Linked DNA regions of Drosophila melanogaster. The protein of the gene in region 4 purifies or fractionates together with the protein of the main gene of each other region. This does not show direct contact. Each region holds a gene or a part of one and is shown on either strand. Other genes may lie near its edges. The genes, in order: Sik2, kibra, Khc and Mer.

Region 1 (7,985 bases), about 18 Mb from region 4:
CCGCCAATTTTAACTCCATCAGCATGGACACCATTGTGCCTGTGACCGATATTGATGCCTTGTTATTGAGTACGCCACCAGCTGCTCCGCTGCTGCGCAAAAAGGCGCAGGGGCAGGCGCCGGGACACAGCAGCAGTAGCTCATCCAAAACGGAACGTCGCCGCCGCTTCCAAACGTTTCCACAGCCTCAGCTGCAGCTCCAAGCTCAGTCAATGGATTGTAGCGAACTTTATGACTTCTTAAGCTCTAGTTCCCTGAGCTCGTCCACCGATAGCGAGGCGGAAGTAGGTGGTCATCGACGGCACGACACCGATCGCGAGGGCGACGATGAACTCACCGACTGGCCGGGAAACGAATTCGGACCCGGAGCCAGATACGATCCAAAAAGGAAGCTTACAAAAAAATCACTACTGCCTCAAATTCGCTCGGATGACACAATTGGAGAAGATGACACTCTTATGTCTGGCACCGAAGCGGGAGCGGTGGGTATGGAACCGCCTTCGAAGTCTCCAGTCCAACTTCCAGAATCTCTTCAGGATCTTTCCCGCTTCCAACCAGCCGGCGTCTCCGAGCCTATCGAGATTCAGAATGCCTGCTCAGAGATGGAAACAAATGCAGATGGCACCATGCCGGCTTCCCGCCAAATCGAGAGTGAGATGTCCGGCGAAACCTCTAATCCGTTTCTTTCCTCGTCGCCTCCTGGACACGCCCAGGGACAGGAAGTACGTGAGATACGAGCAGGGTGTCGCCGCATCAATGGCGAGCGTCCAGGATTCAGCATCAAGATGAGCGTCAATGAGCGCATCGCCCGATTTTTGCAGGATTCGCAACAGACACAGATCCGTTTGCCGGATATAGAGCTTTATGAGACCGATAGCATGAGTAATCTGGCCACGCTCTATTCACTTACCATGGTGGTAGAGCACGGATGTACAGTGCTCACCAAAACCGGGTAAGGATAAAGGGATACTTATTCAAAGTCTATAACTAAGTTGTTGCTCTTCCAGGAACACTACGCAGACGGTGAGCATGGATCATCTTCAACAAGGTCTGCAGCCGCGTGCAGATCTCTTTGGCGATTTTAAGCGGCGCTGCTACGGTGAGGAGGGAGAGGAGGAAGGAGAGCAGCAGCAGCCGCTTCAGCAAGATCCCGGCCAGATTTAGCCCCAGAAAGCAACACTATAATCCAAACAAGACCAATCCCTAGCAAATGCAAACGTACAGCCATCAGCACTCGAGGTGAAACTCTTGGCATACGCTTGCATTTCTAGGGTGGAAGAAACCCTTAATCTATGAATGCTTTTAGCTTGTTTTTGTGAAATCTGTTCCATGTACATAAGTTGCATCGGTCCGTGTATATACTAACTGACTTCGTTAGGGAATGGCGCCAGCAAGACGGATACCGGATCCCAGATCCCGTCGGTTTGGGCTCACGCTTGGAAGCGAGCGAGATGACACGTTTCAGAGACAGAGAGAGAGGACCGACCGAAAGCCGTCGGCAGCCGTTCCACTGTACAAAATATTTAATGTAAGACCTTCAGCGAATATGAATATAAGAAATATATATGTGTGGTCATATCCGGAATACATGTGGACTTCATTTTTACCTAGAATGTGGTGGATATTTTATATAAAAGAGCAACATCCCAATACAAATCAGTAGCAAAAGTATATCTGAGTATATCTGAAAAAAATTTGAAAATAGTTCAAACTCTTTCTGTTAGTTGTACCGGTCACTGTCTATCTGAAAGCTGAATCGGTGAAACGGGTTATATTGCATACTGTTTTACGATCAAAGGGCGCGAAATTCAAATGAATTCCATCAAACTTCCCACCCTCGCGAAAAAGTTGGCGCATGCTCGATGCTCGGCACTTGGCGCTCACTTGGCAACCCTCATGTGTGTGCTGGTGAGGGTCGGAAATTGAGGGGCGAGTGGGTGGAATGGGGCAGACAGCGCCGAGCTTGCGTCAAATACGGACGCCAGTTGGACGCAGCTCGGGATTGGAGGCAGCCACGTTTCCTAGCCATCTGCCGTGTGTGTCGCAGCGACTGTGTCTGTGTGTGCCGTGCTGTGCTGTTCCGAGCCGCATGTGTGGCGCTCCGCGGACGCGATGTAAAGCGGATCCTCGCCAGCGTTTATCCTCTCATAGCCAGTAACCGGATTCGGATTAAGCTGGCCCAGCCTGTAGCCTATTCTCAGTTTTTGCCACCGCTCCTGCTCGAAACTTCTTTGTCAACCGGCGAGGCTTGTGCTTTTAACGCTTTCACCAATAACGGTATTTTTGGGGAGAGCAGCTTTAAGGGGAAATCTCCTGGCAGTGGTTCTGAATCGGTTGCACTGCATCCTGAAGGAAACAACAGTGGCCACTGGCACCGCGGAGCATTTCCACGATGCGATGCGGTTGCTCTGCTTATTGATTTTTCACCAACACTCACCCACACACATACACTCGCACGCTGGCACCCACACACTTTCAGCCGCACACACAGTCAGTGCTGGCACCTCGGCCATTTTGTGGCTGGAAAAAAAGCCATTTTGAAAGCGGAAGTGCAGCGTCAGCCATTTTCGTTGAATGTCTTCCTTTTGGTGGGCACTAACAAATGGATCTGCATGTCTTTGAGGACCTCAGCTAATGGTTTTTAAAATATTTGTCTGTACCTGGTGCGCATATGCGATATGCGAGTGAAATAACACTATTATTATCGTGATAGATTAAATTTAAACGTGAATCCAGTTTACCATTGCAATTGAACTGTGGCAACACTGCCTGAGAAAGAGAGGGAGAGTGCAGCTTTGGTGGCTTGTGGAGTCCGCGTCCGAAAGCCATACACATACACACTCGGAAAGCCGAGGTAATCTCTTATCAAGCGACGACTGCCCACCCCTTCTCCGGAGTCATCCCGTTCTTTATTGCACTTACATATTTTCTATGCACATATATGTACATGGGGAACACACAACATTAGTCGCACATCCATTCAAAAAGTTTCAGTTCATTATTGTATTGTAATTCTACCCAAAATATACCACTCTACTTTTTCTATTCCCGCAGAAGCGCTGTCATGAGACAGGAGGTGTGTGTGAGCATGTGCATCACCATCTCGCTGTCGATCGCGATCTCCCACTCCCTCCGCCTCGCGCTCTCCGTGTGAGATTTCCCGCCCAGGGTGGCGCAGTTGGAAAATGAGCACGTGCGAGGCGGCGGCCGCTGGCGAGAATGGGAGCCAGGCCAAGTCCGAGGAGAGCCAGCCGCCGGAGGATCAGAAGAAGAAGCAGCCGCAGCATGAGAGGAACGAGAAGCAGCTGGATAAGCCGCCGGAGAATTTGCCCCAAAACGGGAAAACCGAAGCAAAAGGAGCAGAAGGAGCGTGTTCACACCCCCCACTGGATGCCCTCCGGAGCTCAGTGCTCCTGGATGCCGGTGCTGCTTCGCCCTCGATAGACGCAATAGTGGCTTGCAAGGATGCACTGCTCGCCCAGAAGCTCTTTGCCAGCGGGGGTGGCTCCACGCCCGGTCCCAGTCCCACATCCTCTGCGGTGGGCGCGGGCGGTATCAGTGGCAAGGACCTGCTCAAACTCAAGGAGCCCATGCGCGTGGGCTTCTACGACATCGAGCGCACCATTGGCAAGGGAAATTTTGCAGTGGTCAAGCTGGCCCGGCATCGAATCACCAAGAACGAGGTGGCTATCAAGATCATTGACAAGTCGCAGCTGGACCAGACAAACCTACAGAAAGTCTACCGCGAAGTGGAGATCATGAAGCGCCTGAAGCACCCTCACATCATTAAGCTCTACCAGGTCAGCAGAATTTGCTGTGGCAGATCCTGCCAAGAATCGTATTCCTAATCCCGTTCTACCAATCCCACAGGTTATGGAGACCAAGAATATGATCTACATAGTGTCGGAGTATGCCAGCCAAGGAGAGATCTTCGGTGGGTTGAGGCTTCATTTTAAAAAAAATTTTTTAAACTCGGACTGTAGAGTACAGTACTCGATTTAGTTAGCAGACTTTTGAACCCACATTGCGCACAGACTTGTTGACCTTTGGACGAACAACACTAGCTTTAAATCTCTCGCATTCTCTTAAGTTGATAAGGGTTTCAATGAGATGGACTTACCTTTATATTTTATCCAGATTACATTGCCAAGTACGGGCGGATGTCCGAGTCGGCGGCGCGCTTTAAGTTCTGGCAGATCATATCGGCGGTGGAGTACTGTCACAAGAAGGGCATAGTGCATCGGGATCTCAAGGCGGAGAACCTGCTCCTGGATTTGAACATGAACATCAAAATAGCGGATTTCGGGTTCTCCAATCACTTCAAGCCGGGAGAATTACTGGCCACCTGGTGCGGATCACCGCCGTACGCAGCTCCCGAGGTTTTCGAGGGAAAGCAATATACGGGTCCAGAGATTGATATTTGGGTAAGTGGTGCGAAGTATACGTGTCAATTTATCCAAAAATGTATAATTTCCTGCAGTCACTGGGCGTCGTGCTTTATGTGCTGGTATGTGGGGCCCTGCCCTTCGACGGATCCACGCTGCAGAGCCTCCGGGATCGGGTGCTTTCCGGTCGCTTTCGCATTCCGTTTTTTATGAGCTCCGAGTGCGAGCACCTCATTCGCCGGATGCTGGTACTGGAGCCCACAAGGCGGTACACCATCGACCAAATCAAACGCCATCGCTGGATGTGCCCCGAGCTGCTGGAGCACGTCCTGATAGCCAAGTACAATCTGGGCGCCGAGCGGCAGACGTCCGTGGAACCCAGCGAGGACATTCTTCGCATCATGGCCGAGTATGTCGGCATTGGGTCGGACAAGACGCGAGCCAGTCTTAAGAAGAACACTTACGACCATGTCGCGGCCATATATCTGCTCCTGCAGGATCGAGTTAGCCACAAGAAGGAGCAGAGCAACGGCTTAGGCGCCAGCGCCCTTGCCTCGTCGACCTCCGCCAGTCGGATGATCTACAGCTCCAGAAATGACCACCAACCGACGCAGCAACAATCGCAGCAGCAGTCCAAGACAATATCCACCAGCTCGATCCTGGCCAAGGATCAGTGCCACAAAAGACTTAGCCGCCATCAGACGGTACTCATGAGTGAGCGTAACGCCCACGCCGGCGCGACACCCACAGTTCCAGATCCCGGTCCCGGATACTACGCCAAGTATGGCCCACTGCAACTGCCACTGCCTCTGACGGGCCACTCCCACCTGACTGGGTATCTGAATGGAGGAGGCGTCGAGGTGGATGCCAGCGGCATTCCGCTGCCCATGCGGTACACCCCGCTGCCGACAGCCGCGTCGCCCGCTCCCTCTAACTGCTCATCCACATCCTCGAGGGTAGGACGACACAGTCTAAGCTCCAGCTCGCCGCGAAGCCATCGACCGGTGGCCATTTCGCTCAGCATCGACAACAACCCCTCGCTGGCCAACCTGCGGTGCAGGGAGATGATGGAGGCTGGAGGAGGACCCGTTGGAGCAGTGGGTGTGCCTCTAGCGTCCAAGCAGCTTCATCAGACCATCAGCGAGTTCATCATCAAACAGAGCACCGAAGACTGTCGTGCGCTGCTGCAGCAGGTGAGTTTTCGGCTGATTCTATCCCAAGTTATTTCTATCCTTATACTTTCGGCAGTCCACAGCAGTGGCTGAGGGTAAAGATGATCCGCCAAAGGCGGAATCAAGCGTAGGAGGCGTTCCTCCGCCCGCCTCTACCACACCCACATCCAGTACAGCGGGACCGGAATCGGGATCGGCTCCCTGCCCTGGTGAGATTAACGGCAAGACAATAAAGACTATGTCCAGCTCGAGCAGCTTCGATTCTAAGGCCAATTTGGGCCAAAGCTTTCGCTACAAGATGTCCGCCGAGGCCAGCAAGCTTTTCCAGACTCTCCAGGAAAGCCCACTGCCCGTGGAGGTGAGTGATACGTGTGAGTTAATAATTGCTTCCAGCTGACAAATTCCATTTCCTCTCCAGCAAAGGACTAAGCGTCGTGTGCACGTGGGCAGCACCAATGGCAGCGGCGGTGACTCCGGCCAGGAAACGAATGATGCGAAATCGAATGGCGACAGGTGAGTCTTGCAGTCACAGCGATAGTTTCTTGACTAATGTCGTTTTCTTCCGTTTCCGCAGCCGCTCGGAGAAGAAAGTTCTGGCCCAAGGCAGCTCCAGCACAGATGAGGGCTGCGAGACAGACCAGGGCAACGATCCGGGCTCTGCTTCCCAGGAGTCAAAGGGCAGCAATGGCGGCGGTAGCGGTAACGCCAACGGCGGACCCACCTCGCACTCCAGCAGCGATCTGACGCGGCTCGTTGGAACCACTACCTCTGGACAGAGTCACAAGATGCGCTCGTATGCCAGTAGTAGCTCGTCCAGTGGCGTTCTCGCCGGGAGCGCTGGTAGCTACTCCAAAAGTCTGAGCCAGAACCTGAGCCGCGGCTCGTCCAAGAGCAATTGCAGCGGTCCCTACGATAGCTTGGACTTTGCCTTGCCTTCTGGCAAGGGCAGTCTACCCTCGTGCATGGGCTCAAGTTCGATGCTGGCCACGCCCACTCCGGCCTCGGCATCGCCAGCGGGAATCTCATCGGAGCATTCATCGGAAAGATCGCTGTACGGGAGCCACAACTCCTGCATCCATATGCCAGGAGCTCTGCCGTTGGGCTTGGGCCTTCCTCAGAGTTCAGCCTCCACGCCCACGCCGAATCCTACGCCTCCGCCAAATGGCGGTGGTGTCACGTTCCTGGACAAGCGTTCACCCATACACTTTCGCGAAGGAAGACGGGCGAGTGATGGCCTGGTGGCCCAGGGCCTGCTTAGCTCTGGTTCCTTGCTGGGCACCAGTCGTGTGTACGGAAGTTATCGCTACGAGCAGGCCAAGCGTCACGGTTGGCTGGAGATCCAGCAGCTGCAGCAGCTGCAGCAGGAGGCGGCTGTGGGGCATTCACACCCACATGCCCATCAACATCCGCATCAGCATCCGCATCCTCATCCCCAAGCGTACGGCTTGGAAGAACTCTGTCAATTTCCAAATGGTCAATTCTATGCTCTGCCGGGCAAGCATCATCCGCTGCTGACTTTGCCCCATCATCATGCGCATCCTGCGCAGCATCACCATGGCCATCATTCGCTGTTCCATTCAGGCCACCAAGCCACACCTCTGCTCCTGGAAGCCGCTGCTGGTGGGGATATGTATGGTCATGGATGCTATGCTCCGCCACCGCCGCCACCAGGGCTATACACGCACCATCAGTTGGGCGTGGGTATGGCCGTGCCCATGTCCCCGATGCAAAAGCCACCGCTGCAGCAGCAGCTACTGCAGCACCGCCTGCTTCAGCAGAAGCGTCAGTTGTTCCAGAAGCAGTACGCACTGGAGGCGCAGCTAGCCGGTCGACATCACCACCATCAGCAGCACAGCCATCACCACCATCACCACTTTGGCCACAGCCTGGGTCCGCCACCGCCGCCGGCTCCGGCTCCGGAACATCACCTGGCCGACGAGTTGTACGAGTTGGCCTTGCTTGATCGGCCCAGGAGCGGAACTCCTAGGCTTCAGCACTCCATGACCATGCCCGGAGCTCATGCCTTCAGTCAGATGAACCTCAAGACTTCCTACATCAGCCAATCGGACCAGGTGCCTGGTGCGGCGCCTAATGGAGCTGGTTCCGGAGGATCAGCTGCTGGGGTATCATGCTCAGCTCCACCGTCCACGGCGCCGGGTACGCCCACGGTCAAGTGCAAGCCTACCACGCCCCACGGTCACAGCCTGGACTCCGACTATCATGTAAGTAAGCTAGATAACGCATATTAAGATGATTTCTCAGGCATCCCAAGTTCGTATATAAACCTTATCCGTTTTCTCCTTGTGTCCTCCGCAGACATCGACGCCGGTGCTCAGCCTTTTCACGCCCAATTGGCAGTCGCTGGTAAAGCCGCTCAGCGAGAGCCCCATCCTGGAGATATCGGAGCACCTTGAGTCAGTCTGAGGCC
Region 2 (4,891 bases), on a different chromosome or scaffold from region 4:
GAAACGTGGCGAGGCCTTTAAAGGTTGCCCGAGGCCTGGCTCGCTTCGCTTTATTGTAGAAATTTATTTATGGTTTATTGGAATTTTTGCGCGCTACCGGCAGCAATTTTGAAAATTCAATAGCAATAGCAAGTTGGATGCGGGGGATCGATAGACAGCCGAAGAGGGGACCAAAAAGCGTATATGATTTGGATACAAAATATGCGCGACTGGGCAAAATACCAATAAGGGGTGTATACAGCATTAAATAGTTTTGTTTGGTCAATAGAAATGGTAAAACTATTTTGGAAAAATATGGAATAGTTAGTTAAATTCGAAGACATACTTTGCAGATGTATACAGAAAATACCAATAAAACATTTACTCTTGTTTTTATTTCTTATATTCTATGGTATCCCTCTTCATAATCTGATTGGTTTTTCAAATAGTAAGTAAATCCCCTAAGGTCATTTAAGCTTTAAATTTCTATAACCCCGAAATCGGAACGTAACGCTCATAGATCGCTGACTTTTTGTGCCCACTGGCAGACATTTGAACGACATGTGTGCATTTATAATCTACTTGATGCATAACCCTAGCAAATGCGCAGATGTTTCGTTTCAATTTCAAAGGCGGGCGGGCGGAAGAGCTGAAATTCCACAACGCTTAATTCAGTGAAACATTTTCAACAATGTCCATGCGATTTGAAACAAACAAAGGGAATGTTTGTGTTAATTGAAAGCGTGAAGCGCACACAGCACCAAACGAACTGAAACAATAAGGCGTACACAGATAGAAATGCACTGGAAAAAATTAATATTCAAGCTTTGATGGCTTAATAAATCATTTGCAACGTGATATTGAAATTATAGAGTGTGTCTAATGTCAATGAAAATGCTGTACAACTGCAGAAAGGCAATAAGCATTTGCTATCGAGCAATTGAAGATACAAAATCCATCTAACACTACACATTTCTCTATCTGTGAAAAGCGAAAAATTGAACTCAGCGAAAGAGAGGGCGAAGAATTTCAGAAATCAATTATTTCGAAACTGCAAAAATTCCTACGTACATTTTGCAATTGTTTATGGGCAAAGCAACAGACAGAGATGGCGAGTGGGGCGGCAGCGAGGGGCGCGAGCGAGATGGAAGACAAAAAATGTGAGCGAACGGCAAACTAAAATGTATCTATGAGATACATGGCCTGATCGCCAGCGCTCTCGCTCGCTCTCCTTTGGCTCTCTCGCACTCATTACGTATGAGTTTGTTGGTTTTGTTTTCCTTTTATTTTACAGATCATTCGCCGAGCTTTATTTAACTTTTGCTCTCTCTCACTCGAATTTTTGTTGTTGTATTTCCCTGGCTTTACAATCCATTTTTTGTTTGTTGCCACTCTCTGTTCAGTTCAGTTATATTCGGAGTCTTAATCATCGCATCGGAATGTTTACTCCAAGTTTTTCCCCCGTTCCGTTGCGTTTTGTTTTGCCTGCTGCCGCTGCTGTCTTGTTTAAAATATGTAATTTATTTTGCTGCTGCCTCTTTATTTTATTTTCCTTTTATTTTTCTTTTTTTTTTTTGCTTCATTTCGCCTCCACCGATCGCATTCCTTTACACACACAGCTGCAGCACGCACCTTTTCTTTCCGGTTCAAGAGCGCTTCGGAATCGGAATTTATATGGGTTTTTTTTTTAGCTCGTTTGCCGGAGCTTCCTGAATGAGTGAACTGCTGATCTCTCACCTGCGTTTTATGCCTTCTTAAGCCACTAACAACTTGCCAAGAATTTTATTCTATTTTAATTTGATTCTCAATGAGTTATCTGCTTCACTTATTAGCCATTAAGCAGCAATTGGGGTTTATAAGCACTCTTGATAGTTTGCGATGTTAAAGCATCTATAACTTATTTAAAACACAACCTGTTGGTTTGGTCATTCGTTATGTATGCCTCATTTCTGATAATTGTTCTAGTAGTTTTAATAAGTTTAAACTAACTTTCCAAATGCAAATATCTTATAATTATATTTCAGATCGCCCTTGTTTCAATTTCGTTTCTTTAATTGACCCTTTCCGGAACACTTACCAATCTCTGGGATCCAGCCAGGTGGTCTTCTTGTTGATATGATCTATGTAATAGGTCTTGCCATCGAAATCCTTGGCGATATCCCAGCCATCGGGAAGTGGGAAGTCGCTGTGGTGTTGTTGCTGCTGCTGATGATGCGTGTGTTGTTGTTGTTGCTGTTGTTGATGATGATGATGATGTTGCTGTTGCTGCTGTTGGGGTCGCAGGTGGTGGGGATGCAGATGATGCTGCGATTGCGATGCGGTTTGTTGCAGATTCGGCATTTTAACTTTGTTTCTCGCCGTGTACTTTGGTTAGTCTGAGAAAACGTCGTTGTTGCTGGATTTTTCACCCGACGCGCGCCTTTTCTTTCTTTTCGCTATTGCTATCTACGTTTGCTTCTTTTTTCGGGGGGTTTCTCTTTGCGCTGTTTACATTAGCAAAGACATTTCAATTCCGTTTCTTTTGCTCCGGCGATAATGGAGACCGACCCGCACACACACACACACAACACGGCCACACGGTGACGGGCGTAGAGGCACACACCGAGCCAACTCGAATACACACGCGCGCAGGGGAGAGAGAGCGGGAGAGCGCGGGCGCGCTCTCAATTATTTATTTACTTTTTTCGTAACTGCATTCCATTCCAGCTCAAACACACGCACACATATGGGGGACGAACACAAGCGCACACGATCACTGCTCACAGTTGGTGCTGCTTCTTTTCATTTCTTGTTGTTGCAAGCGTTTGAACTCCTTTACTTATTTTCTTATTTTCGCCTAATTGAAACTAATTAACGACGATAATCCAACCATCCACTTGGTGTTCACAAAAAAATATGTACTTCAGTTTAGTGAGTTCGCGCCGTCGCCGATCTCTTCGGTTCCGGAATTCCTTGGGGGAGCAGCAAAAAACACGAGTAGCGCGCTTGATGACCGTCCGATTCGGATTCGGAATTTGTTTTGGTAACATTCGCTGCTAGTGGTGTAGCAGAAAACATCGCATTGCATATCGATACACTCGCGGCGATGTTATTCGATGTATTGGTTGATATCGATATTATAGGCTGTATTGACGCGGTTGCAGAGATGCGATATTTAACAATCATGCACGAAAAGTATTTATTGTTATTTGGCTTGTGTAGTCCCCAAGCATAGGTGTAATTGTTGAGGGAAGAAAATAGGAGTTGTACGTTCAAAGATCGGCTTGGTAACAGGAACTAGTTCGGTTCTTCAAGCGATGTTAATCAAAGCCAGTTCCGATAGATCATGTTAACTCGCTCTGTTAACAATTACTGTTATCTTAATCCTAACATTTCCGTTACATTTTAAAAACAGAAAAAGAAAAAATTTAAAAAAAAAGACTGTAAACTGAGTTACGCATTTCGAAATCAATATGTATCCCAACCATAGATAGAAAAATAAATTATGTTTCCGAAACATAACTTCAATAAAACCACAATTTCGCTTGCTTTGTACGTTTGATATTGTATTTGCATTTTATGAATTGTAAAAATTGAGTCAACAAGACTAACACAGCTTCAGCTCAAGACACATGCAATTTCATTGACATTGTTTAATTGTATATATTAAAGGAAATCAATTAGGATATAAAGAGAGAAACCTTTTTGCCGCTTATGCGATGCCAACTATCTGGATCTGGATTGTCTAACACGAAACCCTAACTAATTGGTAAATTAAACATAAATTAATCATATCGGTCAACAACTACAACTAAATATTAGTTATTAGCGGATAAAGAGCGCCCCATAAACTATTTACACTAAGCTTTAGTCTACTAGAGTCCCGGATTCCATCTCCGCTCCTCGGATCTTCGGATCTTAACTCAGATGTTCGGATCTTCAAGTTCTAGGAGAGAACTGGTGCAGTGCATCCGTTATTCAGGCGATACTCGGCATAGACCAGTCCGGTGTTGTGCCAGTGATAGAAGGCGGCCACGATGATCAGGTGCCACCAGTTGTGCGAATGCCCAACGAAGTCCACCTTGCCGGTGAACCAGCGCTCCGGAATCTTGGCCGCATAGAAAACGAAGGCGACGAGGCAGAGCAAGTACATGAGCACGATGCGGGGCACCATCAGCTGCAAATGGTAATGATTGATGGATTAGCAAATGACAAGATTCCATAAATTTCCAACTGATGCCTACCCTGACTAGCTCGTTCTCCAGACCGCCCATGGCCACCGCCCAGTGGCCCAGAGGTATGATTCCATAGGCAGACCAGAGTAGCAGCACCGCCACCTTGCCGTTCATGGACACATTCAAACGGGGTATCTGCACGGCAATGGCCAGTGCGAACATGCCCAGTGCAATCGTGGAGTACAGGGTGCGCAGGAAGGTGTGGCACCAGAAGGCATAGTACATGCCACTGATATAGATGGCCACCAGCGACAGCGAAATGCCCAGGAAGTCAACGGACAGAAAGAGCTCGTAGTGCTCCTCCGATTTGCAGGAGAAGATGTGGTATATGGCGGACATCAGCATGCACAGACAGAAGCAGACCAGCAGGCAGACCACCAGCACCTGGTCGCTCAGGGAGGCGTGGAGGCGCAGGAACTGCAGATCGAAGATGGTCAGTCCAATGAACAGGATGCAACCGGCCAGATGGCTCCAGATGTTGATCTATGAAAAATATAGCAATAATAATGTTATAATAATAGGGAATAGAGTTTAAGGAAAACTATTGTAGCTCCAATTGGAATGGAGTATCATTCTAGTGTGGCAATCTTACCGTCTCATTGGTCCACCAGAAAATGCTCTGCAGGCACATTTTTGTGGAAGGTAGAAAGGTGCGGTATCCGCGACGAATGTACGGGTTGAACTTCAGGTGACTGGGG
Region 3 (7,062 bases), on a different chromosome or scaffold from region 4:
GTACAGCCGCAGCTTTGATTCCGAACGGAGTCTCCATCGTCGGAGTAACTGCCGGGTTGATTCTGTTGCTTGGCCAACTGGTCTAGAAGTCTCCCGCACACGGCATTATTATTTCGCTTCCAGCTGTCGCAGCACGACTTCTGATTGTCCTCGCCGATTACTTTACGGAACCTGGGCTTCCACTCTCCGCGTTTTTGGGAACATAGTCTGGGACCTGGCCATCTATCGCTGCGTATACCATTGCCGACGGACTCGTAACCATCCCAGTTGTCAGCACCGACGTACACATCATTTTGTTGCGTTTGCGATGAACGCTTTTCTGGGTTGTCTTTCGTGGGACATGAACATGGTTTCCCAGTTCGATACTGTTTGCTATCACTTTTTTGGAATTTATTTGACTGATCCTGTTCCTGATACCGATTAGACATCCTTGGGTTGGTACTGCCGCTTTCTCCGCCTTCTAAAGAGCTCTTACTTCCGAATTGAGGACGACTGCTTTGACCTCTTAGCTCGCACGCTTCACAAGGATCTTCGTCTTCCTCTGGCTTGCAACGAACACAGTACGCAGTGGGATACCACCGATCATTGCCGGACGTAGATCTTTCATGGTGCACACCTAAGAACTCTTCATTTGGTGGCTCAGGCTCTAGAATCATCTTGTAGAAGGTGTACCCGCACCTGGTTTCACTGCAGCTGGGACTTAAAAAAGCTAGAGGCGATATGAATGTGTCCTCCGAAAAATTGGGTGGGAAATGTCCTTCCTTAATGGGACAGTTAGCTTCCTCCTGTGTAAAAATAGAAGATAATGGTTCACTATTCAATATCCAGTGCAAAAACCATCCACTCACCTCCAAGTTTCCCAAGAAATGCAAGTCCTCGAAGTAGGAGTACCTTGGACTATAACTATAACCCTCAATTTGACTATTTCGGATGGCGGCCAATTCCTTGGAGTAGTAGTGCCGCAGACCGAGCACCTGCAGCTCCACCTGGTCAGGAGTCAGGCCGCAGTTCATCCGCCGGGTGATTTGTCGCCAGGCGTCATCCTTCGCAGAACCACTATGGAAACCAGGTGACTTTGGATTCCAGAGGCACTCGTTCGATCGATAAAGTCGGATGAGCTTCTGCGTCTTCTTCAATCGCTCCAAATTCAAATACGACGTAATATCCTTCTGTGCCATCGTGCCCCTCTGTTCTCCACAATCCTTTCCAGCGACTCGGTGATCAATCTTCCATAGCGTTTTCCTATTGAACCTACAGAGGTTGTATGCCTAGTTTGGAGCTATATATTGCGCCCAAGCCGAAATATTTGGACAGGAAAAACAAAAGTGACAATAAACAAGCAATTTTGAATAATTTTTGAATGATTTTTAAACGGTATCGCTTAATTAGGAATATTATATGCCGTTACCATTTTCAAGATCTGCAGGGTGTCTCATACATTCGAAGCTTTTGAGAGTATTAATTCAGTATTATTGTGCAATTAAATGGCGATTGGTATTTAGCTGGGCGAGCAGAACGGTCACACTGGCGCACAGTAGCGAAAATAATAGTCGAATAATAAAATAGTTTTGAGTGCAACTAATTCCGACCTACTAACGTATGCGAGTGCATTTAGCGGCTGCACTTAATCATTCCGGGCAAAAAAGTGCAAAACAGTACGACGCGGAGCAGTCAGAATCGAGGTTGCGCTCCAGCGTTATCGCCATTTGACCAATTCAACTTTTGTGTCTGGTATAACCACAAAATTTTCACTGCATCTTCTTATTTGAGCCGCCCCCAACCCAATTTTCGCGAGTGTGTCGGAATCAGCAGAGAATCGGAACAAAAGGGGCCAAACGGAGTACCAGAATCGGCACAAGCAAACAGTGAACAGCAGATAGTGCGGACGATAGCGAGTCCGTTGATTATCCACGTAAACAGTGAGCTGCATGCGCAGAGGTCGCGCCCAGAGCTGCAGAAATCCAACAATCTCCGCCAGAAAGATCTATCTCCGCCCTGTAAGCAATGTCCGCGGAACGAGAGATTCCCGCCGAGGACAGCATCAAAGTGGTCTGCCGATTCCGACCGCTGAACGACAGCGAAGAGAAGGCCGGCTCCAAGTTCGTGGTCAAGTTCCCCAACAATGTGGAGGAGAACTGCATATCCATAGCGGTATGTGTTCCAGATCTATAGTTTTCGCCAGCCCCCAGTGCCTTTTCCCTATGTGTTATGCATTAATCTCGGCGTGCCGCGCCATGACGTCATGCCTATTAGCGTACATTACCCTTCCCCAAAATTGCCGACCAATTGGAATGCCAGGCGATAAAAAGAGAGAGGCACTAAAGTTACCCATGAATAATTGCACAAAACAAAACTAGATGTACATATACATGTATATGATGAAACCAACTAACTTTACTCCAAATCAATATTGCTTTGCACCAAATTGATTTTCCCCCAGTCGAAAAAGAATAGGGTGTGTAAATCGAAAGAAGCGCGATGACGGGGTGGAGAAATGCCACCCACTAGACGGTTTTCTGCTAAAAGCGGGTGTTCCATTCTTTTGGGCCGCATAAATATGCGCTTTTCTAGTTTCCAGTCCGCCTTCAGTGCTTACCTCACTTACATTTCCACACAAACACATACACACATTGACGGTAGCCCCCGCTCCACTTCCACTCCCCTGTCCGCGCGCCAATGAGTCATGCACGCAAAGCATACAAAAAAAAAAAATATGAGGAAAAACAATAAGAGCAACTTTGGAGGCAATGGAATTTGGCTGTATTGCTTTTATGCCACATGAAATGTTATTGCTTTGTATGCTATGCTGAATTTCCCGCTTTTCCGCCAGGTGTAATCCGTCATATTCCTGGTAAAGCTTGGGCAATTGAACCAGTTCCAAAAAAGTCAGCACTAATATAGTGCCTCCATACACAGACATTATCATTACGCTCTCTCTCTCTCTCTGACTAACTCTATCTATCTCTCTTTCGCTGTGGCTTTCTTCTGGCGCTCGTTATTCACTATTCTTCCCCCTTCCACTTAACATGTCTTAATGCTCATAATTACAATCTGCTTCGCGGCCATGCGTTGAAAATGATTCAAAGGCAGTCAGCGGGAAAAGATCGGGGACAGGGGGAATGAATCTCCGAAAGAAATTTCACCGCAACTGACACCAGTTTATAGCTAATGTAACTGGCTGCTATGTACTAAAGAAAAAAACACATTATACTAAACCTAATCTCCATCGTCTGCAGGGCAAGGTGTATTTGTTCGACAAGGTCTTCAAACCGAATGCATCCCAGGAGAAGGTCTACAATGAGGCGGCCAAGTCCATTGTTACGGATGTCCTGGCCGGGTACAATGGAACGATATTCGCATATGGTCAGACGTCCTCCGGAAAAACGCATACGATGGAGGGCGTGATCGGGGACTCCGTAAAACAGGGTATCATACCACGTATCGTCAACGACATTTTCAATCACATCTACGCGATGGAGGTGAACCTGGAGTTTCACATCAAGGTCTCCTACTACGAGATCTACATGGACAAGATTCGAGATCTGTTGGACGTCTCCAAGGTGAACTTAAGCGTGCACGAGGACAAGAACCGGGTGCCGTACGTCAAGGGCGCTACGGAACGGTTCGTCTCGTCGCCGGAGGATGTTTTCGAGGTGATCGAGGAGGGCAAATCCAATCGTCACATCGCTGTGACAAGTGAGTACTAATTAAAATCGATGGTCAGGACCATTTCAGCCAAACAAGTCTAGGAGTTATTCCAGCATTCGCTCTGACCTCGATTGTAGTGTTTCATGTACCAGATCATCTTTTATAACGATTTATCCATCCTTTCAGACATGAACGAGCATTCTTCGCGATCCCACTCAGTATTCCTTATCAATGTGAAGCAGGAGAACCTGGAGAACCAGAAGAAACTATCCGGCAAACTCTACCTGGTGGATTTGGCCGGTTCCGAGAAGGTTTCCAAGACTGGAGCGGAGGGAACCGTTCTTGATGAAGCCAAGAACATCAACAAGTCGCTGTCGGCCTTGGGCAACGTAATTTCAGCCCTGGCGGACGGAAACAAAACGCACATCCCCTACCGTGATTCCAAGCTCACGCGCATCCTGCAGGAGTCGCTGGGAGGCAATGCACGCACAACCATCGTCATCTGCTGCTCTCCAGCCAGTTTCAACGAATCTGAAACGAAGTCAACGCTGGACTTCGGTCGTAGAGCCAAGACAGTGAAGAACGTGGTCTGCGTTAACGAGGAGCTTACTGCCGAGGAATGGAAGCGACGCTATGAAAAGGAGAAGGAAAAGAACGCCCGACTAAAGGGTAAGGTGGAGAAGCTGGAGATCGAGCTTGCGCGCTGGAGAGCGGGTGAAACTGTTAAGGCGGAGGAGCAAATCAACATGGAGGATCTCATGGAGGCAAGCACGCCCAACCTGGAAGTGGAGGCAGCACAGACGGCGGCGGCCGAGGCCGCTTTGGCCGCCCAGCGAACGGCTCTCGCCAATATGTCCGCATCGGTTGCCGTGAACGAGCAGGCCAGGCTGGCTACAGAGTGCGAGCGTCTCTACCAGCAGCTGGACGACAAGGATGAGGAGATCAATCAGCAGAGCCAGTACGCCGAGCAGCTCAAGGAGCAGGTGATGGAGCAGGAGGAACTCATCGCTAACGCTCGGCGTGAGTATGAGACTTTGCAGTCGGAGATGGCGCGAATCCAACAGGAGAACGAGTCCGCCAAGGAAGAGGTTAAGGAGGTGCTCCAAGCTCTCGAAGAGCTGGCTGTAAACTACGACCAGAAATCCCAGGAGATCGATAACAAGAACAAGGATATCGATGCCCTCAACGAGGAGCTGCAGCAGAAGCAGTCTGTGTTCAACGCCGCCTCCACAGAGCTACAGCAGCTCAAGGACATGTCCTCACACCAGAAGAAGCGCATCACGGAAATGCTAACCAACCTACTGCGCGACCTTGGCGAAGTGGGCCAGGCCATTGCCCCCGGCGAGTCCAGCATTGACCTCAAGATGAGTGCTCTGGCTGGCACGGATGCCAGCAAGGTGGAGGAAGATTTCACCATGGCGCGTTTGTTTATCAGCAAGATGAAGACGGAGGCCAAGAACATTGCCCAGCGATGCTCCAACATGGAAACACAGCAGGCTGACTCCAACAAGAAGATCTCCGAATATGAGAAAGATCTGGGCGAGTACCGGCTACTCATTTCGCAGCACGAGGCACGCATGAAGTCGCTGCAGGAGTCGATGCGGGAGGCAGAGAACAAGAAGCGCACGCTCGAGGAACAAATCGATTCGCTGCGCGAGGAATGCGCCAAGCTCAAGGCCGCCGAGCACGTTTCCGCCGTTAACGCCGAGGAGAAACAGCGGGCTGAGGAGCTGCGCTCCATGTTCGATTCTCAGATGGACGAGCTACGCGAAGCCCACACCCGGCAGGTGTCCGAGCTCCGGGATGAGATTGCCGCCAAGCAGCACGAAATGGACGAGATGAAGGATGTCCATCAAAAGCTGCTCTTGGCGCACCAACAGATGACGGCCGACTACGAGAAGGTGCGCCAGGAGGATGCCGAGAAGTCCAGCGAGCTTCAGAACATCATCCTCACCAACGAGCGTCGGGAGCAAGCGCGCAAAGACCTCAAGGGCCTGGAGGACACGGTGGCCAAGGAGTTGCAGACGCTACACAACCTGCGAAAACTTTTCGTTCAGGATCTACAGGTAAAGTTTAAGCAATCCTATCTATTATTGCTACGTACAGATCTTAAAATGTATTTCCCTTGTGCCAACAGCAACGAATCCGAAAGAATGTCGTAAACGAGGAGAGCGAGGAGGACGGTGGATCACTCGCGCAGAAACAGAAGATTTCCTTCTTGGAGAACAACCTCGACCAGCTGACCAAGGTGCACAAGCAATTGGTGCGGGACAACGCCGATCTGCGGTGCGAGCTGCCCAAGCTGGAGAAGCGTCTACGCTGTACCATGGAGCGGGTGAAAGCTCTGGAGACAGCGCTCAAGGAGGCGAAGGAGGGCGCAATGCGGGATCGCAAGCGCTACCAATACGAGGTGGACCGCATCAAGGAGGCGGTGCGACAGAAGCATCTGGGCAGACGTGGCCCACAGGCACAGATCGCCAAGCCGATCCGGTCCGGCCAGGGTGCAATCGCCATTCGTGGTGGTGGCGCCGTTGGAGGACCATCCCCGCTGGCCCAGGTTAATCCTGTCAACTCGTAGATCCAATCACCACCTGTCGCCGCCCAGTTCAGCTCCGCTTTAAACTAAACTAAATGGATTACGTTATACATACTTAACATAACTGATAATTGCCTTCGCTTAGATGAGATGTGTCGCGATCATGTGCAGCGCTTTAAATATACATACATATAATTTAATTAAATAAATGAAAGGAAACCGGAAATTAACTAAATTTTACAAACCGAAAATAATAAAACCCACAGATATGTAAGGACATCTATATACGTTAAGAGTATTTATAAACTTTTCAAACATAAACCTAAATAAAAGTCGCAGACAAATTAAGGTCTCTTTAGTTTGATTCTTATTGCAGTTCAAAAAAATTATGCCGATTATTTGGCTATTGGTTGTTATTACATCGTCTGCTGTTACAATCGCATGTTGTAACCTGTCCCGCGTGTGTTATGGTGCTCCCAATCGTCTGGAGAATTGACCACCTGCCATTCGTACCACACTTTGGTTGCATCCACGCATCGCCAAAACTGGATGGATATAGTCTGTCCCTCCCTCAGAGTTCTTGGACGCTGAGTAGTAAAAATATATATTAATGTAGCAGTTATCAAAGGCTAACTAATCACATCACACGTACCGTTGCGAAGAACATGGGGAACCAGGAGAACATGCCAGGCGTATGGGTCAGAGGATTGATGCTTAGGCAGATGTCCTTGTACAAATGGGTATCAAAGTATCCGCCGATTCCGTGCAGCACGCAATCTTTATTGACTTTAAATGAAACCGTCTTGCAGCGAGTATTGTCAATATTTTCCGCTCGATTAGGATGTACGAATTCAAACAGAGCCTGCGGCTCGTCAATA
Region 4 (6,051 bases):
TCAATATGGATAACATACATTTTCATTTGAACTATGACATTTCGTTTATTTAATATCTAATATTAAGTTTTTACCGTTATTTAAACTTTAAATAAAGTTCTCTTATTATAATTACTCCGCGTAATAACGGAACATAACAAGGTGTATAGGGTAGAAACACCCTTTGAAGATCTTGAATTAGACAAAGATACACTGATGGTGCGAACGAGTCCGGAGTACTCTTCGGATCTGAAACCCTATACCTTTGAATGATCCGTCTATCATATCGAGTGGGAAATTTCCTTTAACGCCGTGCACGCCAAGTTAAAGGATTAAGTACCCTTGCAGTTAAACGTTAGGCATAATCTATAGTCTACAGGTACATACATATCTATAGTCAGATTCAATTAAAATGCAATTCCTTTGTCTGAAATCTTGAAAAATTATAATAAATAAATAGAAATCCAATCGTTTAATTTGCGCCACTTTATTTTTTTAGCTATAGGATACACTGCAGGAAGACAGCATTTTCGTTCCGATTTGCATAGTTGTATGTATGTATGTACATATGTACATATGTATTTAAACGAGCTGACAGAAAATATATGGCAACAGAACTAAGAGACCATGGAATCGGATGGACATCCACAGTCTCTGGGATAACATCCGTAAACCGACCACGCTCAGCGGAATAGGAGGGAGCTTCAAGAATATCGTAATTAACATTCAGACTTAACTAGAACAAATCCGTGCCTGCAGTTCCAGTCACCGACTTTTAATCGGTAAATCACCGCTCTTTTAAAAATGTTGAGCGCTTAAACACCGCACAATTTGCACGAAAGCTACCGGTGATTTTAACATTGGCATGTTTTAGGAAATCATCGGTATGAAAAAAAAATCCCAAAAACATCGCTATTAATCACCGTTGTTTAAGCGCATTTTAACGGGCCAATCGTCCTTTGATTCAGCGTTTTTTCATCGCTGCTTTAGCGGTTTTGGGTTTTGCGGTTTATGGTTTTTCATCTTTGGGAGAGAGATCGCTCGCGAGAGAGTCGGTGTCGGTGAGAGAGTGTGATGTTTCTCAAGATCGATGAATTGGGGAACTGCAGGGAAGGTATCAACACACTGACAAAGTCAAAAGAGCGCCAAATCTTCGCTATTGATCACCGTTGTTTGAGCGCATTTTAATCGTCCTTTGATTCTGTTTTGCGGTTTATTAGTTTTCATTTTTGGAAGAGAGAGATCGCGTTCGAGAGAGTCGGTGTCGGTGAGAGGGTGTGATGTTTCTCAAGAGCGATGAATTGTGGAACTGCATGGAAGGTGTTGAATATCTTCTACCGAAAATAACGGTATCTAATCGCCCATCTACTTTATGAATATTTTTCGTGCGTAAGTGAATGTAAAATCATATATGTACATATGTATGTACATATGTACGTTTGCAATTGGTTTATTACAGCAGCGGCTTGAGCGAACAATCGAAAAACATTAAATATAGTATGTTATAGTAGGATATAGTACAACTACGGTTAAGGCACTCATACACTCTAGCACGCGCACAGGCACACACGCCAAATCGTAACGTATCGTACAGCTAGATGGGGTATTAGTCATGTCGGCGGATGCGGGGGTGAGGGGGGAGTAGGTGACGGAGGAGGCGGAGGCGGAGGAGGTCAGAGCTCCTCGAAGAAGGCGACACGCGCCTTGGTCGAGCCGGACTTGAGTTTCTTGAGCGTGGAGTATTTATTTTCGCCGGCCTTGATCTGCGCCTCGCTGAGGATGTCCAGGTTGCTCTGGTTCTCCTCAATCTTGTGCGGCGCGATCTCGGAGCGCAGTGTCTGCAGTTGACTTTGCACCTGCTTGGAGTTGCGCAGGTAGTCGAGGTGGTTGCGCTCCATCTCATTGGTGATCTGCTCCATCTCGTTGTCGGTGAGTATGAACTCCTTGGGCTCGAAGTCGTCCGAAATGCCGCTGGAGTTGTCACCTTGGACCAGGTAGTGTGACGAGTGGGTGGTCAGCTCGGCGCCGCCGGCGGTCTCCAAATCATTGGTTGAGCTGCTTGTGATCAGGGAGGGTGTGCTGATGGCCGCCATGCTGGACGCCGTATTCGCCGCGTGCGACACACTGGAGGCGGTCAGCAGGCTATCCGTGGAGGACTTGCGGCCGCTGTTGAGGAATTCGAGCAGGCGAGCGGTGGCCTCGCGCTCCGCCATTTTGGCGCAGATCAGCTCCTTGCGCAGCTTCTCAGTCTCGGCCTCCCGCTTGTCGTTCTCCACCGTCAGCTGGTGGACATAGAAGTCGGCGTCGCGAATCTTCTTCTCCAGGTCGTGCTTCTCCCGCTCGATTTTCATTTGTCGCTCGCGCAGCCGGTCCATTTCCGTCTTGAAGTGGTTTGCCTTGCACTCGGTCAGCTGCATCTGCTCCTCGTTGACACGACTCTTTTCGAAGTACAGCTCCTTGGTCTCTTCGGAACGCCGCTGGGATACAGGGAGAAACTCAATATTATAGATCAGAAGCCACTGGGCGGAGTGAGTCTTACAAGTGCATCGTTGGCCATGCGCATTTCGTTTTGCAGGTGCTCCATGCTCTTCTCCAGCTCGTAGCGCTCGTGCTCCGCCTTTTCGCGCAGCTTCTTTTCCCTGATGAACTTTTTGCGTTCGATCTGGCGGCGTTGCTTCTCCTCCTTGGCTTGGGCCTTCATCTGCTGGATTTCCATGGTGTCGGGTTTGCGGCGGCGCATATATAGATCGTGATTGCCCTTGCACAGGTCAAGAATCTGCAAAGCACACGATGCAAGTGTAGTATGAATATGGGAACATGAACATAGTGAAAATACATATACATATTTCAGTTGTCACAACTGCCCTCCTTACCATTTTGTTGATGTGGAGGTCCTGCGAGTAAAAGATGAAATTCGAAACCTTGGCATCCACCAGGCGAATGGTGAACTTCTTGTCGTCGAAGCTGACGTGCCGTATCTCGTTCCACTGGAACGTTGTCTTTGGCGTTAGCTTATCGCGCTCATCGTAGATGTTTAGGCCCACGGAGGTGACGCCCAGCCACAATTTGGTTTTGTTCTTATTCTGGTGGGGAACACAAACGATAAGATTCAGATGCGCCACGTGAAAATCAAGGCTCTCACCGTAATAGGAAAGTAGTTTACTCCGTACATGTCCAGGTCCTGAGCAATCTTCAGGTACTCCATCTCCACCTCGTCGCGCGTCATGGGCTCATGGTCCATGTACCATGTCTTGATCCGTTCCTCCCACATTTCGGGCGTCATCTGGTACTGATCGGTCACTCCCTTGGGCAGAAGCTCACCCCCGGCCAGCATACCGTCCTTGTAGGTCTCGTAGTCGTACGGACCGTATTGCACGTGCACCGCGTAGGAGGCCAGCAGCACGGACGCCTCCGGGCGGCAGTAGATGTCCATGGAGAGGATGCTCTGCTTGACCTGCAGGAAGAACAGGTGCTGCGTGATCTCCTGGATCAGCTCCTCGCTGACGTTCTCCGGAAAGAACTTGGCGTAGAAGCTAAACACATACACATTATTGCTAGCGTGCAGCTCAACGCGCTGGTCGCGCACCCGCTTCTCCATTTTCAGCCAGGACACGTTGCTGCGGGTGTCGACGTACTGCAGCCCAAAGTACCAAGACTCGCGCAGCCCGATGGTGCGGCACACCAGGTCGAACAGATCCTGGCCGGAGGCGCGCGGCTCCAGCTTGAACTCCAGCTCCGAGTCGAAGGTGCTCACCCGCACCGACAGGGATCGGTTTTTCTTGGAGCCGAAGGGGCTCATCGCGATTATGTGATGTGTTTTGATTAGATTCGACGCAATGTGATGTGATGCGTTAGATGCAATTGGATTGGAGTGGGAACTGAGTGCTCTTGTGGGCAATTCGTGATAACCTGTTGCGTGCAAAGGACTTGTTGCTCCTGCTAATCTGATTCTTGGTCCTTCTGGTGCTCCTGTGCCATCTAGTGGCACGATTCCTTGTTGCTGCTCCTGCGGTCCTCGCCTATCGCGGACTGCCTCATTTTGCAGCCAATTCGGTGCTCCGGGCAATGGCAATGGCAATTTGGGCTGATGGCTGTGAGCGGAAAGAAAGAAAGAGTAAGGCTCTTCGTTTATGCGGCGCTGCGATTTAAGAACTGCGTGGCCACGGCATCCTGGCGCCCACTATTCAACCGCTCACCCAGCTCCTTTGGCGTGGAAGCTGATTGAGGGTCGGCAGAAGGGTCTCCACATCGACCAAGTACGAGAATAGGCAACTTACTCGATTGTTTGCACCGCGAATCGCAATTGTACGACAAATTCCCGATATGCGCGACATAAACATAGACAGTGTGACCAGCCGTTAGATGCAGAAAAATCAGCTTTGGCAGACGCCTTGTATATTTAGTAGGGTGATTCCATTTCAATTTTATGGAGGAATCATAATGCTTAAATTAATCCATCTCAAACGACATAAAGCATTGAAATGTCAATATATGCACATGAAAACATATTAAATACCTTAAAAATATATTAACTTTCCATTTTCCAAAAGTTTTCAAAAACTGGCAAAACAGTGGTAGTCCAAATACCAAAATATACCGCAATATGTTTTTTCAAATTGTACACTCATTTTTAGTTATACGAATTTTTGAATGCTGCGAAATAGATTTGATCAGCTATTTGATGAAAGATGAATTAACTAAAATAACACAGTGCTATATAGAGTTGCCACCCTGTCAATGGTCACGAATTGGGAAAATGAAGTCCTTGAGCGCAATATTTGTTTTAAAGATTTGTCTAAGGATGAGATGTATTACTATGTAAATGTTTATTGGACGTATTCTTGTATTGCAGGTCCATGCTTAAATTCTCGGAATAAGCAAAATGACCATGTCAGCAGATGCGTATATAAACAATGAATAAGTCCAGCTTTCGTTTTATCAGGTCCCTGTAGCTTATTTTCCATCTCCACCGACTCAGCAATGAACTTGTACCCCCCTGGATATCGTATTTCATCGAAATAGGAAAATATAAAGATATGGAGGTTTTCTTACATTATTCTTAGAATAAATTATACATGCAGGATTATAAATACATATTGAAGGGATGGTAACCGATGAACATAGTTTATATATATTCATGTGCGTGTTTGGGGGACTCTTAGCTCAATTTATACTACTATTATTATGTGTATGCATCAGGGGTGATGCTAATGCCATGCAAGTAAACAATGCTTATCACACAAACGCAAGTGACTCCAGACACGGATATCCGAATCCGTGCGCAGAGAAGACTGAACGGAGGCGAATTACTTTGAACCTAGAGAGAGTGTTGCTGCAGATAACTCGTGTTGGCACTTAAATGGCTGTGCCAGGACTTGGACTCGCACACCGGAATCCATGATCACTAGCTACTGGCTGCTCCGCTTGATGCGCTCGACATGCAGGTCGTACAGCATCTTGTTCTTCTCGTAGTAAAATGGGTTTTGTTCGGCTCCCAGTTCTGGGTTGTATTCGTATCCGGCCGCCACACCGTTTCCGGCTGCATCGGACCCGCCGGATCCACCAGTCGCTCCTCCTCCCGACAGTGGCGGAATGCTGCAGCTGCTGCTGCTGCTGCTGTTCCCATCCTCGTAGTTCAGATTCAGGTTGTTGATGCGCTTCGAAAGGGGCGACTCGCAGGCCAGTTCATCCTCCCGGCTGCGCTTTCTGTGGAGGAATGGTGTGCGTTTGATTAGCGCTGGGACCTCACTACCTTGGTCAAGGTGATTACCTTGTCTTCAGGAATCCAGCCATTCCGATCCCGGGGCCAGTGCAGTGTGTTGGTTTCGGTTCCTATTGGTCAATTGTTTTGTCCTGCCCCGTTTCACAGCAGCGACATCCACCAGTGTGACTGCCTCGAAGTTCGAAATTGGCTGTGGGATATACCAATGGGTTGTGCTAAATATACCGCTAATCGAGGTTTGTTTTTTCTTAAATGGAAATCACAAATAGCCAACCCAAACAGCAGATATTGTTAAGAAAACCGAGATTATATTGTATCCAAACAAATAGAATATTTTTGGGAGGGAGGGA

What was found.
Region 1: the proteins of Mer (region 4) and Sik2 purify together in Drosophila melanogaster (affinity purification with western blotting, with the first as the bait; one study listed by BioGRID). This does not show direct contact.
Region 2: the proteins of Mer (region 4) and kibra purify together in Drosophila melanogaster (affinity purification with western blotting; 3 studies listed by BioGRID). This does not show direct contact.
Region 3: the proteins of Mer (region 4) and Khc purify together in Drosophila melanogaster (affinity purification with western blotting, with the first as the bait; one study listed by BioGRID). This does not show direct contact.

What each region holds. Positions count from the first base shown.
Region 1 is NC_004354.4:2,055,914-2,063,898, reverse strand, and holds the start of Sik2 (Salt-inducible kinase 2), read left to right. Parts: upstream 1-1,983; 5' UTR 1,984-2,277; intron 2,278-3,054; 5' UTR 3,055-3,185; coding exon 3,186-3,800; intron 3,801-3,870; coding exon 3,871-3,934; intron 3,935-4,137; coding exon 4,138-4,424; intron 4,425-4,480; coding exon 4,481-5,578; intron 5,579-5,633; coding exon 5,634-5,915; intron 5,916-5,975; coding exon 5,976-6,070; intron 6,071-6,131; coding exon 6,132-7,779; exon of another isoform or gene 7,780-7,788; intron 7,789-7,842; exon of another isoform or gene 7,843-7,873; coding exon 7,874-7,981; 3' UTR 7,982-7,985. Other genes in the region: CG4281 (uncharacterized protein), read left to right, coding at 1-952, 1,008-1,164.
Region 2 is NT_033777.3:14,721,255-14,726,145, forward strand, and holds the start of kibra (kibra), read right to left. Parts: upstream 3,008-4,891; 5' UTR 2,320-3,007; coding exon 2,057-2,319; intron 1-2,056. Other genes in the region: CG7530 (uncharacterized protein), read right to left, coding at 3,905-4,135, 4,203-4,676, 4,786-4,891. UniProt on the Drosophila melanogaster protein: Regulator of the Hippo/SWH (Sav/Wts/Hpo) signaling pathway, a signaling pathway that plays a pivotal role in organ size control and tumor suppression by restricting proliferation and promoting apoptosis.
Region 3 is NT_033778.4:16,266,428-16,273,489, reverse strand, and holds Khc (kinesin heavy chain), read left to right. Parts: upstream 1-1,518; 5' UTR 1,519-2,004; coding exon 2,005-2,151; intron 2,152-3,236; coding exon 3,237-3,696; intron 3,697-3,834; coding exon 3,835-5,714; intron 5,715-5,785; coding exon 5,786-6,226; 3' UTR 6,227-6,530; downstream 6,531-7,062. Other genes in the region: CG33017 (uncharacterized protein), read right to left, coding at 1-785, 849-1,178; csul (capsuleen), read right to left, coding at 6,616-6,771, 6,837-7,062. UniProt on the Drosophila melanogaster protein: Kinesin is a microtubule-associated force-producing protein that may play a role in organelle transport. Milt and Miro form an essential protein complex that links Khc to mitochondria for light chain-independent, anterograde transport of mitochondria.
Region 4 is NC_004354.4:19,689,180-19,695,230, forward strand, and holds Mer (merlin), read right to left. Parts: upstream 4,322-6,051; 5' UTR 4,257-4,321; intron 4,071-4,256; 5' UTR 3,779-4,070; coding exon 3,122-3,778; intron 3,063-3,121; coding exon 2,853-3,062; intron 2,756-2,852; coding exon 2,519-2,755; intron 2,457-2,518; coding exon 1,653-2,456; 3' UTR 518-1,652; downstream 1-517. Other genes in the region: CG14229 (uncharacterized protein), read right to left, coding at 5,388-5,685, 5,750-5,772. UniProt on the Drosophila melanogaster protein: Regulator of the Hippo/SWH (Sav/Wts/Hpo) signaling pathway, a signaling pathway that plays a pivotal role in organ size control and tumor suppression by restricting proliferation and promoting apoptosis.